Linked DNA regions of Mus musculus. The protein of the gene in region 1 purifies or fractionates together with the protein of each later gene. This does not show direct contact. Links are inferred from orthologs where the notes say so. Each region holds a gene or a part of one and is shown in the gene's direction. Other genes may lie near its edges.

The links.
Region 2: the proteins of Mad2l1 (region 1) and Rnf8 purify together in Homo sapiens (co-immunoprecipitation; 3 studies listed by BioGRID and IntAct, with this or other methods). This does not show direct contact. The link is inferred for Mus musculus from reciprocal best matches to the Homo sapiens genes MAD2L1 and RNF8.
Region 3: the proteins of Mad2l1 (region 1) and Kif20a purify together in Homo sapiens (affinity purification with mass spectrometry; 4 studies listed by BioGRID and IntAct, with this or other methods). This does not show direct contact. The link is inferred for Mus musculus from reciprocal best matches to the Homo sapiens genes MAD2L1 and KIF20A.
Region 4: the proteins of Mad2l1 (region 1) and Anapc1 purify together in Homo sapiens (affinity purification with mass spectrometry; 3 studies listed by BioGRID and IntAct, with this or other methods). This does not show direct contact. The link is inferred for Mus musculus from reciprocal best matches to the Homo sapiens genes MAD2L1 and ANAPC1.
Region 5: the proteins of Mad2l1 (region 1) and Anapc7 purify together in Homo sapiens (affinity purification with mass spectrometry; 3 studies listed by BioGRID and IntAct, with this or other methods). This does not show direct contact. The link is inferred for Mus musculus from reciprocal best matches to the Homo sapiens genes MAD2L1 and ANAPC7.

Annotation. Positions count from the first base shown.
Region 1 is NC_000072.6:66,533,959-66,538,031, forward strand, and holds the start of Mad2l1 (mitotic spindle assembly checkpoint protein MAD2A), read left to right. Parts: upstream 1-1,262; 5' UTR 1,263-1,568; coding exon 1,569-1,641; intron 1,642-1,999; coding exon 2,000-2,146; intron 2,147-3,610; coding exon 3,611-3,731; intron 3,732-4,073. UniProt on the Homo sapiens protein: Component of the spindle-assembly checkpoint that prevents the onset of anaphase until all chromosomes are properly aligned at the metaphase plate.
Region 2 is NC_000083.6:29,624,782-29,628,296, forward strand, and holds part of Rnf8 (E3 ubiquitin-protein ligase RNF8), read left to right. Parts: intron 1-1,724; coding exon 1,725-2,468; intron 2,469-3,515. UniProt on the Homo sapiens protein: E3 ubiquitin-protein ligase that plays a key role in DNA damage signaling via 2 distinct roles: by mediating the 'Lys-63'-linked ubiquitination of histones H2A and H2AX and promoting the recruitment of DNA repair proteins at double-strand breaks (DSBs) sites, and by catalyzing 'Lys-48'-linked ubiquitination to remove target proteins from DNA damage sites.
Region 3 is NC_000084.6:34,623,642-34,627,740, forward strand, and holds the start of Kif20a (kinesin-like protein KIF20A), read left to right. Parts: upstream 1-1,294; 5' UTR 1,295-1,419; exon of another isoform or gene 1,420-1,622; intron 1,623-1,816; 5' UTR 1,817-1,838; coding exon 1,839-2,000; intron 2,001-3,074; coding exon 3,075-3,164; intron 3,165-3,253; coding exon 3,254-3,373; intron 3,374-3,911; coding exon 3,912-4,050; intron 4,051-4,099. Other genes in the region: Brd8 (bromodomain-containing protein 8), read right to left, coding at 897-915. UniProt on the Homo sapiens protein: Mitotic kinesin required for chromosome passenger complex (CPC)-mediated cytokinesis. Following phosphorylation by PLK1, involved in recruitment of PLK1 to the central spindle. Interacts with guanosine triphosphate (GTP)-bound forms of RAB6A and RAB6B.
Region 4 is NC_000068.7:128,611,987-128,614,407, reverse strand, and holds part of Anapc1 (anaphase-promoting complex subunit 1), read left to right. Parts: intron 1-1,344; coding exon 1,345-1,460; 3' UTR 1,461-2,421. UniProt on the Homo sapiens protein: Component of the anaphase promoting complex/cyclosome (APC/C), a cell cycle-regulated E3 ubiquitin ligase that controls progression through mitosis and the G1 phase of the cell cycle.
Region 5 is NC_000071.6:122,421,092-122,425,258, forward strand, and holds the start of Anapc7 (anaphase-promoting complex subunit 7), read left to right. Parts: upstream 1-1,352; 5' UTR 1,353-1,486; coding exon 1,487-1,587; intron 1,588-4,167. UniProt on the Homo sapiens protein: Component of the anaphase promoting complex/cyclosome (APC/C), a cell cycle-regulated E3 ubiquitin ligase that controls progression through mitosis and the G1 phase of the cell cycle.

The DNA of each region.
Region 1 (4,073 bases):
CTGAGAATTTTTCAAGTATTTTATAGTATTGCTTTTAATAAATGGGGAGAGAGGTAATGTTAAACCACGCAGTCAAAAGGAAATAGGAAAGAAATCAACCATCAAAGATTCCAGATCTTTTAATGTTTCTGAAATAAATTAGATTAAGTCCAACCACCGTTTGGTAAGAAAGAGCTAGTACCTCACTTTTATCTATACCACCATTTCTTTCCTCCTCATATGTCACAGTTTCTTTCTCTGATGTATTGTTTATACAACTTCCCTGGCATCTGTTTAGTTCAGGCTCTAAACCTTCTTCTTTCTTCTCCTTGTTCTTTCTTCTTCTTCTTCAAAGATTTATTTATTATTATTATTATTATTATTATTATTATTATTATTATATATAAGTACACTGTAGCTGTCTTCAGACACACCAGAAGAGGGCGTCAGATCTCATTACAGATGGTTGTGAGCCACCATGTGATTGCTGGAATTTGAACTCAGGACCTTCGGAACAGCAGTCACTCTTACCCACTGAGCCATCTTCTTAAACCTGCATATGATAGTATCTCTAATAGTCAACTGGTTTCAAAATGCAGTCTGAGTACCAGAGTTAGAACCATTTAGCATAGTTGGAAGATGTGCCATCTCCTGGACACAATACTACTGTACAATATTAAAACTGTAGCATGAATCCCATATGTAATCGTACATGCTCTGGTATAGGCCTTAAACGATCAAAAAGAAAGTACATATGACTAAAAACTTAAAAGCAAGCTAATTGCAAAAAAAAAAAAAAAAAAAAAAAAAAAAAGGAAATCAAGTGTCTCTATCATTTAAATCCTTTGTGGACTTATAAAATCTATGTAGTATAGAAAAATAAAGACATTACTAAATGATTATTAGTGTGTGTGTGTGTACACAATTTGCAGGGGTTCGCTTCTCTACTTGGTGACAAGCATCATTAAGCTTCTGTCCCACCTAGTTCCCTTCATCATATTTAACAAAACCAAAAACCAGGTTCTCCCAGACTTGAAACTATCCTCGAAGCTGAGACCATGCTTCAGGGATGCTCAGACCACGGGTTTGACAGGCAGGTAATCTCAGGACCATCTCTGGGCCGCTTCTAGGTCACCTCATCCGAGGTCCTGCACAGTACGGACCTTGTAGGTCACCAGGACCTGGAACAAGACGCCCCAACCACTCTGCGCTTGCTCATTCGGTCAGCCAGCGAGGGCGGAGCCAGGGCCGGATACAAGTCGCTTTGGGCGGGGCTTTAACCCGTGGTGCAACTGGGCATAGGGCGGAAGAGCCGATGTGGAGCGGAATGTTGAAGAGACCCGGCTCTCTAATGTGGGAGGGGCTTAGGGAACAAAACGGAAGCCTGAGGCGGCCTTAGGGAGGGATTCGGAGTTACAAAGCCAGCCGGAAACTGGCGACGTAGGTGGGGCTTAGGGCTCATTACGCCTGCGCACCGAGCAACCGGCGGGCTGCGTAGTTATTTTTGAACCGGGTGGCGGGGAATAGCTTAGAAGCCATTAGGGCGCCGTCTGCGGTGAGGTTGGTAGTGTTCTCCGTTCGATCTAGTGATGGCACAGCAGCTCGCCCGAGAGCAAGGCATCACCCTGCGTGGGAGCGCAGAAATCGTGGCCGAGTTTTTCTGTGAGTGCTGAGCGCAGCCCCCGCCGCCAGAGAGAGCTGAGGCTGAGCCGGGCCTTAGGACGCGCGCTAGGACGGAACCACGGATCCTCCCGGGGGCGGGGAACGCTGCACCACCCAGCGCAGGCCTGGGCCTCCTGGAACCTAACGGGGCTGACCTGGGTCATCATCTTACTCGCTCTCTGAAAGCTGGGGTCTGTGTTGACATCCTCTGACCACATGCTCTGTATTTACACTTAGCAAACCTGCGAAGTTGGACATTGCTGGGTTAAAGGTTTTCCGTGTCTTTTTGTGCCTACTCTGCTTTCTGGGAGACTTAAACGTTATTACACGGTTACGGCTTTATTTCTTTCGTTTTCAGCATTTGGCATCAACAGCATTTTGTATCAGCGTGGCATTTATCCGTCGGAAACCTTTACTAGAGTGCAGAAATATGGACTCACCTTGCTTACAACTACTGACCCCGAGCTCATAAAGTATCTCAATAATGTGGTGGAACAGCTAAAAGGTAATCACGTTTTCAGTGTGTGATCTTACAGGTTTGTGTCCCAAGTAACTTAAAGCAACATGCCTTCTCAAATGTCATTCTCAACTGGGAGGAAGCAAGCAATGGAGGGAATCCCCACCTCTTTTTAAGTAGGCTGAATGTCTTGATGTTAGGAATCTTTAAGCTGCTTTAAGAGTGGGTTTTGTAGGTTAACCAGTTGCAGCAAATTGGAAATTTTACCCGATTAAAAGGATTTCGCCATTCTGTGTTTTGCTTTGTAGCTCCCAATGAAATCATACAAAATACCAATTCTAAAAGCATTGCAACTGCCTTTTTTTCTCTTTGAGTTTTATTGTACGTGAAAGGGTGTTGTAGTTTGTTTTAATTGTAAATTCATTAACAGTGTTTATTGCTTTTTTTGTTAACTTCAGTATTAAAATGGCCTTTTGGTGGCCACCTGAACATGGTTAGCTTGGCATCTGTCTTTAAGGCCGTTTTGTTTTGCTTTGCTTTTGAGACAGGTCTCTTTATGTAGCTCTGGCTGTCCTTGAACATGCTATGTAGACCCGGCTATCGTTGAACTCACAAAGATCAGCCTGGCTCTACTCCCAAGTTCTGGGACTAAAGGCATTTGCCACTGTGTCCAGTTTAAGGCCAGACTTCTAAACATGCCTTGCTATTTGTATCCATAGTAGAGTATTCATCAACACTTGTGCAGGTTGGATATGAATTCACAGGCAAAAACGGCAGGGCTTTTAAGCATAAGATCTGCTTTGAATTCTGGTATCTGTGGATCCTTTTACCCCCTGCAGCTCACTTACTTGCAAGGATGATAGTTTAGAAACACAAGGCTAATTGGTCACTCTGTCCAAAACACAGTTGTGGCTTTCCTGATTCTTAAAAGTACAGTTTCATTAATTTAACTTGTAAGATTTTATATGACATAGCATCTTGACTTTTCATAATTATGTAATTTATTTACTTTATTGAAAAGAATTTACTTTTCAATTAGTCTGCCCATGTATGCATGTATATACATGTGTGTGTGTGTGTGTGTGTGTGTGTGTGTGCAGGCGTGCATGCATGCCCTTCCCATTTAAAACCTGTATTTGCCTCTCCTTTGTACAGTTAGTGTAAAAACTAATCTTTCCCTCACCTACCAGAGTAGTCCGATTTTTTATGCTCTTATAGTGTCTCTGTTGTGACCAGCCACCACAGATGTGACTGGCGGTGGTTAGATGAGTATATGTCATATGCTCTCACTGGGAATTGCAGAGAAAGTACAGGTTCACGGTTCTGATGCTCTGCCTTCTGCCTATTAGTAATATGGAGAATTTAAAACTCAGCTAAATTATTAGTGGAGAATTGTCTTCCTTATGCAAGAAAGGAAGTTCAATTGTGAGAGTTCTGTAAGGCCGAGAGTGGGTCTTTGGAAGAGAGTCTCTGTCATAGGCTAGAGTCTGAGCGCTGCCTTGTGTGTTGCAGAGTGGCTGTACAAGTGCTCAGTTCAGAAACTGGTGGTGGTCATCTCAAATATTGAAAGTGGTGAAGTCCTTGAAAGATGGCAGTTTGATATTGAGTGTGACAAAACTGCAAAAGAGGAAGGGTAAGTATGAGCTGAGTTATTCCTACCTTAATTTGTTTTTATGTTGTTGCATGAGTTCACATTGTATTGAACTGATTTCTTACAGTTACTGTCTATGGTATGTTTTTAAAGATACTTTTGTTCTTTTGTTAGCTTGTGAGGGATTTCTTTTTTTTTTTTTTTTTTTTTTTTTTGGTATTTCGAGACAGGGTTTCTCTGTATAGCCCTGACTGTCCTGGAACTCACTTTGTAGACCAGGCTGGCCTTGAACTCAGAAATCTGCCTGCCTCTGCCTCCCGAGTGCTAGAATTAAAGGCGTGCTCCGCCTCGCCCAGCTGTGAGGGATTTCTGAGTTCCTCATAG
Region 2 (3,515 bases), on another chromosome or scaffold:
CCCTTCCCAGAGTTAGAGTCCTCCCAATATCTGGTTAGCTCTACAGTCTGTCTCAGGGCTTGTCACTCCATTTAGCTAACCTGCCTCCACATGGCACCCTTTGCTGTGCTGTTGGATTCCATTCTTAGCTGTGTCCTTGTCCTGTGTTTTTCACAAATAGCTGCTAAAAGCTGTTTTTATATCTATTTTGTCCTTGGTGTCTTTACTTGCTGTCTTACTTGGGGTTTTCATTGCTGTGAACAGACACCATGACCACAACGACTCTTTTTTTTTTTTTTTTCGAGACAGGGTTTCTCTGTGTAGCCCTGGCTGTCCTGGAAACTCACTCTGTAGACCAGGCTGGCCTTGAACTCAGAAATCCGCCTGCCTCTACCTTCCGAGTGCTGGGATTAAAGGCGTGTGTCACCACGCCCGGCTTAAACAGTGGTTAGATGCCCACGCCTGGCCACAGCGACTCTTATAAAGGAAAATACTTAATTGGGACTGGCTTACAGTCTATTGTCATTGTGGTGGGGAGCATGGGGGCAGGCAGGAGCCAAGAGGTCTACATCTTGATCCACAGGCAGTAGGGAGATACTTGTCACACTGAATGCAGCTGTAGTGTAGGAGACCTCAAAGCCCACCTTCCTAGTGACACTTCCAACAACAGGGCCACACCTCCTAATAGTTCCACTCCGTATCCAAGCATACAAACACACAATGAGTCTATGGCGGCCATTCCTGTTCATAGCTGGTAGGCTGGTGAGCACAGAGGTAAAGTGATAGATCAGTTATGCCAGGTGGTTTTCTAAGGCACCACATGCTGACTTCACTCAGGGGTCACCAGAAGGATTATCATCTGATAGACACGGGACCCAACCCAAAAAGCAAACAGGAAGTCTGCCCAGTGTCATTCAGCTCTTAAATGGTGGACACATTGCCAACGCAGGCAGTCTAATCCAAGACTCCAGTGTTGGGATTGAACCGAGTCTTCCTATGCTACCCCAGAGCTCAGCCTCTCCCCATCCATGCTCTCAACAATGTCATTTCACTGAGACAAGAGGTTTGGGAGCTGAGACTTACGGTATTAGAGTGCTGTGCTGTGCATTTTACAAGGCTTCTCATTGTATAGACAAAACTGAGACACAGAGGAGTTGCTAAAAGTATGTAGCTAATAGAGCCAAGTATTGAATTTGGTCTGTGAGCCCAAGGGAGAGCCCCAGCTCTGCTTGCTACACTATAGCTCAGGTACACGGCTACTGGTGTTCCTTGGATCAGACTCCCCAGTACAGAGTCCTGCACTGTCCTCTTAGCATTTGTACACTGTCAAGGGCCAGCGTGCAGAGCGTGGGTGGCTCCTGCCTGAGCCTGGCCATGGTTGGCTGTGCCACTGCTTCCCTCCCTAGGAGCGTTTTCTCCAGTCTTGACGCATTGCCGGAGTTTAGGTCAATAGGAGGGATTGAGTTTGAGTGTTGAGTGTGTCGCTGGGTTTTAGAAAGGAGAGTTTGGCCTGTTAGACAGGCGTTCTCTGTGGAGGCATGAAGGTGACATAGGTAGGAAGGCAGAGCGAGCACTGTGTGCGCAGTGCTCTTTCCAGAGATGGTGCTTTACGACCCTTTCATTTCTGTTTGTTCTCAAGGGTTTTCCTTCTGAAAAGGCAGAAGGTTTTGCAGCAGCAAGAGAGAGATTCCATTAAGAGGAGGGAAATCGTGAGCTTATTTTTGTTTTTCTTTCTTTTTCCCCAGAGTCTGAATGGTGTTTGGCTGAACAGAGAACGTCTGGCACCATTACAGGGTTATTGCATCCGTAAGGGAGACCATATCCAGCTCGGTGTGCCGCTGGAAAGCAGGGAGACGGCGGAGTATGAATACGAAGTCATTGAAGAAGACTGGGAGAGTCTGGCTCCCTGCCTTGCCCCGAAGAATGACCAGAGAATGGAAAAACATAAAGGCTCGAGAACTAAGAGGAAATTCAGTTCGCCTGGGTTAGAGAATCTTCCAGCCGAGGGCTCCTCAGATCTCAGATGCCCACTGGCTAATGTCGCCAGTAAACCCATTGAGCCAGAGAAGTTGCATGGCAAAGGTGACGCATCGAGTCAGTCCTTGGGATGCTTGTGTCCTGGGCTGACTTCTCTGAAGGCGAGTGAGAGGGCCGCCGGGCCTCATGCTTGCTCTGCTCTTCCAAAGGTCCTGGAACTCAGTTGTCCTAAGAAGCAGAAGGCCTGCAGACCATCAGCATCTCAGAACAGCTTAGAACTGTTTAAGGTGACCATGTCCAGGATGCTGAAGCTGAAAACACAGATGCAGGAGAAGCAGATAGCTGTCCTAAACGTCAAGAGACAGACTCGGAAGGGGAGCTCAAAGAAGATCGTGAGGATGGAGAAGGAGCTGCGAAACTTACAGTCTCAGCTGTATGCAGAGCAGGCTCAGCAGCAAGCCAGAGTGGAGCAGCTGGAGAAGACTTTCCAGGAGGAGGCACATTACCTCCAGGTACCTCAGAGGCAGGAGGCGGGGCGCCCCGGGAGCTCCTGCCTAGAGTTTTCTGTGACACAGGGACTGAATGCTAAGTGCAGGAGACAGAGTGAGGGTGGAGCTTGGGAAAGATTGGGGTTTCAGCACACTGGTGAGGTCAGGAGCCAGGCGGGCTGCCCGGGTGAGCAAGGTGACTGAGCAGGCAGCCTGGGGACAGCTGGGCTCTGCGTCAGGGAGAGGTTGGATAACGGCTAGGATGCCAGCAGACCGTGTCCCTGGGGCTTTGCTCTTTGCTATCAGAGCAGGTGCAGGTCAGCCAGGTCCCCTGTCTGTACATGGCAACGCTTTGGCACTGCGATTGGCTCTAGCTCCCCTGGAGAGTGGGTGGCAGCAGCAGAGAATGGTTTTGTTCCTGTCCTGACCAATCAGAGTGCCACGGAGGCACGGCTGGCTGAGTGACAAGCCGCTGTCACCCTCCTGGAAGGTAAAAGAAAGAAGTACCTGAGTGGACCAAAGCTCTTGCATAAAGCTTCAGGCTGGAGTTGATCCTGTTCCTGCTTAAAATGTCAGTTCCCATGTGGCAGGAACCGTGCGGGTCACAGCCCAGCTGCTCAGGTAATAGCGAATGTCAGGAATACCCTATTGTTGACTTAAAACCAAAAAGGACCAGTCACAGCTGAAGTGCAAAGGTGGTGGTTTATCTTGCTTGGCGCTCTGGGCAAAGAACAGCCTGCCGTGGTACTGACTTGTTTCTGAAGAGTTTATACTTTTCTTTCTAACCTCTGCTATCTCCTCGAGCTGGTAGGGTTAGCAAAAGCCATGGATGATATAGGTGCCTAAGGGCATGCTTGGCGGCTGTGCATAGCTCCTGCTCCCCTTGTTCAGCCCAGACCACTGTAAATTAACAGAGGGTGGGACTCTCTGTTTAGGGTGTCACACCATCACTGAGCAGAATTCTCTTTAAAGGATAGTGGGTTCAGAGAGGAGAGTGACTGGGATTAATATCCATGGCTACTCTGTGCTGAAGGGACAACTGCGAAGTCTTTCCTGGGACTCAAGGTTAAA
Region 3 (4,099 bases), on another chromosome or scaffold:
GGACTACTGTGGAGTAGTAATCCCGGCTCTCAGGATGCAGAGACTAGCCTGGTCTGCATGAGTTCCAGTCCAGCCAGGATCAGTCACACGATAGTAGCCTGTCTCAAAATAAATACATTCCAAACTCGTCCCAAGTGTGAACCACTAACATCAATTATTATCAACAAATCTTGATTTTTTTTTTCACCGTTCCAATGAAATATCACCATTACTGGCTACGGTACTTTTTATTGAATACACATTTTTAGAACATCTTGTTTAAATGCCACGGCTTTAAGGTGGTCTGCTTCCAAAAAACAACAACAAAAAAGGCAGTGTTACGTTAAAAAAAAAAAAAGGTAATAAGGTTCTCATTTTTAAAAAACACTTCTAAAACGTTCAGTTTGAACGCAGGCTTATTTCCCACGATTCCCAGCGGCCAAGGGCTCCGACTGCCGGCCTACTACTTTGCATAAAGTTGTTTACATACGGCCCCGCCCCCTAACCGTCGGATATAGAGCGGTTCCCTGGGGAAGCAGAAAAATGGCTGAACTCCGGGAGACGCGTTTTCCCCTGCGGCAGGAAAAGCCTACAGCTAACATATCACCTCGACTGCTCCTCACCGCTCGGTTAGATAAACAGCAGAGTCGCTGGCCACTTCACTCTGCCTTTCCGTTTTACCCTAGGCAGCGCCTAGCCCTCCCACAAAGGCTTCCCGGGCTGTTTCTCCGCAGCCTCCGTCTCCTCCCAACACTGTTAAACCCCAGGCGGGGGTCCCGAAAGCGACAGGAAAGGCAGATCTCTGAGCTCTGCGCTCTCCGACAACCCACTCCTCCCACGCCTTTCACGCCTGAGAATTGGGATGCTAGTCTCAACTCTACAAAGGCCTTGACTATAAAAGGGGGGCCGATACTCACTGCCTGTCCCGGTCGCCATCTTGGCTTCGACGTCTTCAACGTTGGCGACAGACGCGGGGAACTCTGGGAAACACAGTGCGAATCCGTTCGCGGTGCCTCGTGGGTAATGTGGGTGGGTCAGTTTGCCCTAATAGAAGCGAAGTTCCTCTAGGAAAAAAAAATCTGCTTTTTAACTAATAAAGGACAAGGGATTGCGGCTGAAGCCTCAGAAAAGAAACGTCTAGATTTAGAATTAAGCGACAAGAATACCAGGATGAACAACATGGAAGTGTCAGTTGGTAACCCGGACCCACATTAAAAGCAAACGGTCTTCCGGTAGGCTCTGCCTCCTCCCTTCTGCTGATTGGGTCCTTCAGGCTTTGCTTTTTGATTGGCCGGACAAGCTCAGCGCGCAGTTTAAAACATTGTATGAGGAACAAAGCTGTTCCTCGTGGGCGGAGTTGTGCTCTCCAGCCGCAGGAGTCTTGCTGCGCGGGTGGGTAGAAGCTGGGATCAGAGAAGCGGCGAGGCAGACAGTCTTCGGGTGAGTGAAGTTGGGCTGGAGCCCCGGTTATCAGCTGCTGCTTGCGCGTCCGTAGAAGGCTCCTGTGTCTTCCATAATTCTCTAGGTCTCGTGGTCTTTGGAATAAGGTTGGAAAAGTACCCTTGGGATCCTAAAACACGCTCGCTGGCGGACCTGTAGACCACCTCTGTAGAGCGTGGCCTTCCGTTCTGCTTTAGAACTAGGTATCTCTCCGTGCCTACTTACCTTCAGAAATGCAGCCTCCGGCTGTACTAGTTCTCATTCTCTTCCCCTTAGCTGATAGTGGTGTATAGTCTAGGCATCCCACCCCACCCCTTACCAGGTGCCTGTTTTTAACCTACAGGTTTGCAGGTTTTGTGTATTAATATTCTACCCATCTACTCTTGTCTCTTTTTAGACATAGACTGACTCTGCTTGTCATGTCTCACCGGATCCTTTCTCCGCCAGCGGGCTTACTCTCTGATGAGGATGTTGTAGACTCTCCCATATTAGAATCCACAGCTGCAGATCTGAGATCTGTTGTCCGAAAGGACCTGTTGTCAGACTGCTCTGTCATCTCTGCCTCTCTGGAGGACAAGCAGGTAAAGGAGTTGAGTGGCTTAGGGGCAGAAAGTGGTATCTTCAGCTAACAGTTGTTTATACAAGGTAGTATGAGATCAAAAGCCAGTAATCCTGAAAAAATGAAAGATCAGTTAAAAAATTAAGGGTAAAGCTGGGCATTGTGGTGCATACTTTTAATCTCAGCACTTGGGAGACAGAAATAGCAGATCTCTGAGTTAAGGCCTGCCTGGTTTACCAAATGAGTTCCAAGACAGCTAGCACTACACAGAGAAACCTTGTCTTGAAAAATCAAAACTGGGTTGGGGATTTAGCTCAGTGGTAGAGCACTTGCCTAGCAAGTGCAAGGCCCTGGGTTCCGTCCTCTGCTCTGGAAAAAAAAAAGAAATGAGAAGAGAAAAGGAAAGACAGACAGACAGACAGACCAAAATGCCGGGTGTGGTGGCACACACAATCCCAGCACTCAGGAGGCAGAGGCAGGCGGATTTCTGAGTTCGAGGCCAGCCTGGTCTACAAAGTGAGCTCCAGGACAGCCAGGGCTGTACAGAGAAACCCTGTCTCAAAAAACCAAATAAATAAATAAATAAATAAAATATTTATTTCGAGATAGTATTATAGTCAAGGCTGGCTTTAAACTTCAGATCCCCCTCTCTCTAGTGTTGAGTGTTGAGATTAAAAGCACATGCCATCATACCTAGTATATGGTGATTTTCTAACAACTTTTTTTTTTTTTTTTTTTTTTTTTTGAGACAGGGTTTCTCTGTGTAGCCCTGGCTGTCCTGGAACTCACTCTGTAGACCAGGTTAGCCTTGAACTCAGAAATTCACCTGCCTCTGCCTCCCAAGTGCTGGAATTAAAGGTGTGTGCCACCATGCCCAGCCTCTAACAACTCATTCTTACTCAGGAAAGCCAGGATTGCAGGGCAGTGTTGGACAGGGAAGGGTAACAGAATTCATGTGTGCTAGAATGATGTGGAACCAAAGAATGGCTGCACAGGACCACTTAACGCTTACTGAGGAATGAGGGAGCAGAAGCATGCTTCCTAGGATCTAGGCTGTTTGTCCTGGCTTACAGGTTAACTCGAGAATCTGTTACAGGCTCTACTGGAGGACACCTCAGAGAAGGTGAAAGTTTACCTTCGAATTCGACCATTCTTGACTTCAGAGTTGGACCGACAGGAAGATCAGGTAGGATTTAAGGTGGATTTAAGGTTGTAGTAGGAGAGGCTCCCAGGAGTGCTCCTTTACTCGGTAAACCCTGCTTTCTACCTTTCCAGGGCTGCGTCTGCATTGAGAATACAGAAACCCTTGTGCTGCAGGCACCCAAAGACTCCTTTGCCTTGAAGAGTAATGAGAGGGGAGTTGGTCAGGCCACTCACAAATTTACCTTTTCCCAGGTATGCAATACTGCTGTACGAACATTTAGGAAATGTATTTCTTCTTTAAAAGATTTCTACTCGAGTGTGGGTTCTTTACGTGTCTGTATCTGTAATTTTAAGACCTTTTTATGTGCTAGTCAGTGTGTGGGATACTTTTATGTACATGAGATACCACTGATGTTATTACTATTACTCTTCTCCCTGGTAAGAATACGATGGCACATATTGCAGTGACGGGGATTTTGCTGAAGCTATAGCGCTATTCAGTGGTAAAGACAGAGCTGAGATTTGGATCTACCGTCTCCAAACCCATGCTTACACCCAACTGTACAACCCCGTGTGTGTGCACAGCACTACACTTAACAGCATTCCTTAAGTGTTTCATTAGGATGAACTGAACTAGCCGGGGCGATGGAGGCTTTAGCATTTAGGAACAACTGGAGTCCATCAGGAAAGCCTGCTTGAGCAGGCTCCAGGGAGGATTGTAGCTACTCGTCCGGTCCAGGAGACGGAGGGCAGAAACAGTGTGGCTTCTGAGAGATCGGTCTCTTTCTAGATATTTGGGCCAGAAGTGGGACAGGTGGCCTTCTTCAATCTGACCATGAAGGAGATGGTGAAGGATGTGCTCAAAGGGCAGAACTGGCTCATCTACACCTATGGAGTCACCAACTCGGGGAAAACGTACACCATTCAAGGTCAGTAGTGAGCTTCAGCAGGGTTGCCTGGCAACTTAGCGTTGGCTTT
Region 4 (2,421 bases), on another chromosome or scaffold:
GTGTACTAGAAGATAACTTGCCAGTTGTTTACTAGTGCCTATCCCACCGCTTCTTAGAAGAATTCCTAGTAGAATTTAGGAGGGTATGGCCTCAGTCATAGGAAGTAAATTACCTCTGGACTATACCATGTTGTGGTCACATCTTATAAATCTCAAAGGATCAACATAAGTTGTGATCTATGATCGTAACTGCAGGCATGTTTTGTTGAAATCTAACTCTACCCAGATCTAAGCCCAGTAGCTAAAGAACATGGAAGTACCCAGCAATGAAAAGTAGGTGAAATTCAATATGTGGCATACAATAAAAACAGCCCCACCCACTCCCCAGGGCATAGTAGTCCACACCTATAATTTAAGCATTTGGAAATCAAATTCCTTGGAGGGGAAGAAGTTCAAGGCCATCTCTGGCTACAGAGTGAGGTGGGAGCTGGTCTTGGCCCACACAGGACCCTGTCTCAGGAAAAAATAACAACAATAAACAACAGTAACAGCAGCTACTGTCTCCAGGCCCACACGCTGCCATGCTAGTGCAGCCCCTGGCCTAAGCTGCTTAGATTTGTGCTGCCTCACGGTGCTCCTGCATCCCTACTTGTTCACACTTTGCCATTCGTACTTTGCTGCAAACCAAATAGCTGTCTCTCCCTGGCTTCTGGTGGGGCAAGATTCTTATCTACCTTTTACCCCCTCTATTTTCTTTCTTTGCTCCCCACCCTGTTCTTAATCAAATAAGAAAGTAAACACTGCAGAATGAGAAAAAGAAAAAGTAAAACAAAAGCAGCAGCCCACGTGCAGAGAAACAGGAAGGTGTATAACCCGTGCTGCTGGGACTGTGGGGTGGGGAGGAAAGGAGGAGGAAGCTTGAGAGACTCTTTGGCGATGTGCCTGTGGGTCTAGATCTCGGTAGACAATCGCTTGGGTATTGTCTAAAATCCCAGATATCCAGGCCTCACTCCAGTGAGTATTTGTAAACTGTGGGACCAAGAACAAGAGACAGTAGATTAACTCTCAGTCTTTAGTCTGTTGAGGTTGTTTGTTTGTAAAAGATTGAACTCACAGATCAAAAATCAAGTATTAAAATCAGTTTTCAAAATCACTTATAGTAATTGAAGTTAATTGAATTTAATGTACACAGATAAGTTTTCACAGTGGTTAATTTCTAAAGTACAGAATGGATACATTTAAATTCTTTAATTGTTTTAGGAAATTAAAAATTCAAGGTTTGCCACTGGGGTGCTTTTGTGTAGAAGGAAGGCTTTCTGGCTCAGGTGTGGTGTGCAGAGCTTGGGAGGGCTGTGTGGCTGCGGCTGTGTAGTGATGTCACCTTCTGCATCTCTGTCTCTTTAGGGAGCACAAGCTTTGCTGAACTCCTCTACAGGTTCCGACACCTGAAGATGCCCGTCCGGGCTTTGCTAAGACTGGCTCCTGTGCTGCTTGGGAACCCACAGCCGATGGTCATGTGACCACCTCTGCCGAGGGAAACCCACCCTAGAAATGACTGCGGCACAGAATCCTGATGGCAGCAAAGTGAAGGCAGCATTTCTGTTTTGTAACCAATGGAACTCAGTTGCATACGCCTCACTGTGCTTAAAATTCATGTTGAAAATAAGACAGATAACGCTGGTGCTGTCCACGTGTCATATGATGTATAAAACATCAGTTAAAACTCACATTTTGTAAATAAAGATTTTTGGTTTGTTTTCAAAACTATTGATTGCTTTGGACTTCAGAGAATAGATGGACAGGCTGAGTTTTTAAGCCTTATAACTTTAGTGGTTCAGGTTCTGTACTCAGAAGTGCAAGGCTTAAAAAGCCACATTGTGAAAATGGACTTTGTGCTCTCCGGGAGCGTTTGTGTGTTGTCTGTTACGTAACAGTTATCTTCTCTACAATGAGTCTGTGCTTCCCGTGGTGGATGGATGACAGACAGCGTTACTGCCAGCAGTTTTCTACTGAATGAAGAATTGCTCAGCATGGAGTACTGGACTGTGCCCAAGCCCTGACCTTGGTGCAGCTGTGTAGGCTGCAGCTCTTTGGAGGTAATCGAGGTTAAAGGGCACTCTAAGGGGGAGTCTATTTGGTAGAATCGATGTCCTGCTCAGAAGAGGAAAAAGAGATGATTTTCTCTCTGTACCATGTGAGAACTCATAGCACAACTGCTCACAAACTAAGAAGATTCCCTTGTGAGGAACCAGTCAGACAGTCTTGAGCTTTAGCACCTAGAAGTATTAAGCGATAAACTCCTGATGCTTGTCTGTGGTACTTGGTGTTTGCAGCCTGTGCAGGCTGTGCATGACACCTGCTCAAAATACTGAAAATACAGAATTACCGCCACAGAGGAGTGTTAAGAAATACGGAAATCAGTCTATCTGAACTAAAGGTCTGGAAAGTGCTTTTGCATTCTGAGTTTCAGGACAGCTCATG
Region 5 (4,167 bases), on another chromosome or scaffold:
AATCTCAAATTTAAGCAAACAGCTTCAGTTGTTTACATTTTAATTGCATGTAGTTATTTATTTTGTGCGAGTGAGAGGCACATGCGGCTGTCTCAGAGGACAACGTGAAGGAGTCAGGTCTCTCCTCCCACACAGGGGATTGAATTTACAAAACTAGCCTTGCTGATAAGTGGTTTTACTCTCAGGCTGCCCAGCTTCAACATTTGAAAGTTTTGGTTTCCTTGTCGGCAAAGAAGGACTGACAATTCAAAGTACTTATTTGTTTGTTTGTTTGTTTGTTTGTTTTAAGCGTTTTCAAACAGGGTTTCTCTGCGTATCCCTAGCTGTCCTGGAACTCACCCTATAAACCAGGCTAATCTTTAACTCACAGAGATCGGCCCAACTCCCAAGTGCTAGAATTAAACCACCCCCTGCCAACGTTGTTATTTATTTATTGAATATGAGTACACCATTGCTCTCTTCAGACACACCAGAAGAGGGCATCAGATCCCATTAAATGTGGTTTTGAGCAACCATGCGGTTGCTGAGAATTGAACTCAGGATCTCTGGTATAGCAGTCGGTGCTCTTAACCACTGAGCCATCTCTCCAGATCCAAGTTGTTGTTGTTTGTTTGTTTGTTTGTTTCAATGTATTTTTATGAGTATCTGCATGCCTGAGTGTGTATGTCTGTGCACCACATGCATGTATGTGCCCATAGACGCCAGAGGAAGGAGTCGGATGCCCTGGAGCTGGCCTTTCAGACTGTTGTGAGCCACCAGGTAGGTGCTAGGAACCGAATTCCCCTGCAAGAGCATGCAGTTTTAATTTCTGAGGCGGCTCTCTCCCTCTATGGAAATGGCTTCAGCATTGCGATTTGTGAATATGCAATGCAGTAACGAGTTCGTAAAGGCTTGAGATGTTGACAGTGGGGCGATCAGAGATCCAGCTCATCCCTGTAACTATCTTTTCTTCGCACTTGGATCTAGCGGGTCACTTGGACGGGCAAGCCATGCCTTGCACCAAGGAATCTATTCCCAGTGACAGGGACAAGAGTCGCCAGGAGAGGGGGGCGTGCCACCTTCGCCTAGGACGCTCCCGTAGTTGGAGAAAGCCAGCCCTTGCGCGCCTGATTCGAAAATTCAATTTTTAACTGTCCGTTTTCCGCCTCCGCTGTGTTTAGGATGAACTCCTGTGCATTGTTACTAGCCTCCGCGAGGCATCCATTCCTCTCAGGCTGTCTTTAGCGCAGCAAAACTACGATTCCTACTGGGATGGCTTTGAAGATGATGATGATGGAGAAAACCCTTTCGCCGCTGCTTCTTTTTACTCAGGCACGTCCGTGGCTACCTCCATCTTCGGGGGGCGGAGCCGCGTCTGGACCGGAAGGACCCCGGCGCCGTCTCCATTTTGGAACTTTCCCCGAGCCTCTGCTCTCGGTTCCCGGGAGTTCTGTCCGCCGCTGCCGGTGCCGCGGTGTCGCCGGGGGCCACGGTGTTGCCGGGCAGGATGAGTGTGATAGACCACGTGCGGGACATGGCGGCTGCGGGACTGCACTCCAACGTGCGGCTCCTCAGCAGCCTGCTGCTCACCATGAGTAACAACAACCCGTGAGTTGGAGAGGCGGGGAGGTGGCGGTCCCGGGAGCCGGGGTTGGCGGTGGCGGGGGGACGGTGTGGTCCCGCGGAGGGCTGCGCGGGATCCGGCCTCGGTGGCCTCGGAGTTCTGGCTCCTTCCAGAACGACGAAGTCCCCTGAGTCCCGGGGACCCAGTCCACCGAGTGTCAGCCGTGGGGGTGCCACCCCAGCGGAGGGAGGGGACCCCACTTTCCGAGACTGAGAGCATCGGTGGCGGGCGCGGTGGCGCCTTTTTTTAATTTAAAAGGAACCCTGGCAGTCTAATGTAAGGCCCGACATTGCCGCCGGGGAGTGACTGGTTTTGTGTGGTTGTGTTTACAAACAGGGGTCTCCTGTAGCCCAGGCTAGCCTGCCCCAGGCTGTGTGTGTGTGTGTGTGTAGTCAAGGAAGACCTTGACCTTCTTACCCTCCTGCCTACGCCTCCCAGAAGCTGGGGGGGGGGGGTTAACTGGTGTTTTACACCCCCACCATGCTCTCAGTGTGCGTGTGGACCTTGGGGATCGAACCAGGGATTTCAGGCGTGCTAGGCAAAACACTACCGATGGAGTGACAGTTCTATCTAGCCGGGTTTACTGCGTCTCAAAGGAAGCCCGGGACAGTTGTAGGCTTGAATTGCCTGTAAGGGCCTTGCTTAAAAATTTCCCCATCATTGCTCACTCTTCGACGTGGCTCCGCAAGTCAACCTAGTCATTCCTTTTCTCTAATTTCTCCTCCTGCCCGAGCGCTCTCAGAGCAAGCATTGGCACCGGTGGCTTCACTTTAGAACCGCTGCCTGAGCCGGGCAGTGGTGGCGCATGCCTTTAGTCCCAGCACTTGGGAGGCAGAGGCAGGCGGATTTCTGAGTTCGAGGCCAGCCTGGTGTACAGAGTGAGTTCCAGGACAGCCAGGGCTACACAGAGAAACCTTGTCTCAAAACAAAACAAAACAAAAAAAAATGCTAAGGAAATGTGTTTATTACAGGGAGGTCCAGTAGGTCGACCAAGATCACACCCTGGAGAACATAGAGGAGCGAGTGGATCTGTCTATGATTGGAGATAGTTTGTATTTCAGTCCACCACTGTCTAGTGCTTCCAAAGAACATTACAGTAGCCTTCTACTCCGTGCAGACATTTGCATTTGGCGTGGCTGAGGCTAGTCTAGTGAGACAGCCAAAGGGCTGTGAGGGGCCTGTAATTCAGTCACTACCCCCCACTCCAATTCATTAGTGTGCTTTGGACCGACTAGGCACACACATCATTTGGTCACCAGCTTCTTTTTTTTTTTTTTTTTAAAGATTTTATTTATTTATTTATTTTTATTTATTATATGTAAGTACACTGTAACTGTCTTCAGACACTCCAGAAGAGGGCATCAGATCTCATTACGGGTGGTTGTGAGCCACCATGTGGTTGCTGGGATTTGAACTTCGGACCTTCGGAAGAGCAGTCGGGTGCTCTTACCCACTGAGCCATCTCACCAGCCCGGTCACCAGCTTCTTAGTGTGACACGAGGGACACTGGTCTCTGTCAGCCTTCTGTGTTGATGTTGAGGACTTTTCCCCAGAATCTTAGTGGTGCTTCATAGCAAATGGTTTCCTGTGTTGGGGATAATGCCCTAATCTTTACTCTTGGGTCGGGACAACGTTCTAGCACTGTTTGAACGCTATAGAGCGTCCTCCTCTAGTTAGACTGAATTGGGCTAACCCATGCTTTTCCACGTTAGGTTAGATTGGCAAGTTCTTAGCTACAGGAAGCAGATAAGTTCTGACCTTCATCCTTTATGTTTTGATATTTGTTGAAGAGACAGTGTACACACTGTCCAAAAACAAAATAAGACTGATAACATAGTTCAGTGGTAGAATTCTTACCTAAAATGCCTTGCAGCTGGATCTAGCCTTTACAGTTACCTAAGATATCGCTCTGCCCGGGAAATGGTCATTGTGTACTGGCTGGTTTTGGGTGTCAACTTGACACAGGCTGGAGTTATCACAGAGAAAGGAGCTTCAGTTGAAGAAATGCCTCCATGAGATCCAGCTGTAAGGCATTTCCTCAATGAGTGATCAAGTGGGGGGGGCCTCTTGTGGGGTGGTACCATCTCTGGGCTGGTAGTCTTGGGTTCTATAAGAGAGCAGGCTGAGCAAGCCAGGGGAAGCAAGCCAGTAAAGAACATCCCTCCATGGCCTCTGCATCAGCTCCTGCTTCCTGACCTGCTTAAGTTCCAGTCCTGACTTCCTTGGTGATGAACCGCAGTGTGGAAGTGTAAGCCGAATAAACCCTTTCCTCCCCAACTTGCTTCTTGGTCATGATGTTTGTGCAGGAATAGAAACCCTGACTAAGACACACTGTAACATACTTGCCGAGCGAGTAGTGTCTCTGGAGTGATACATGAAAAGCAGTGCTCTCTGGAGAAGGATGGTGGTTGGGTCAGGTTCAAAACCGAGGAAGCAGTACTTTGCTTGCCTCTGTTTTTCCCACCTCACAGCTTCACTGTGTAGCCCTGGCCGTCCTGGAACTCAGAGATCCACTTGCCTCTGACTCCACAGTGTCGGAATTAAATGATGATTGAGCCAGCACA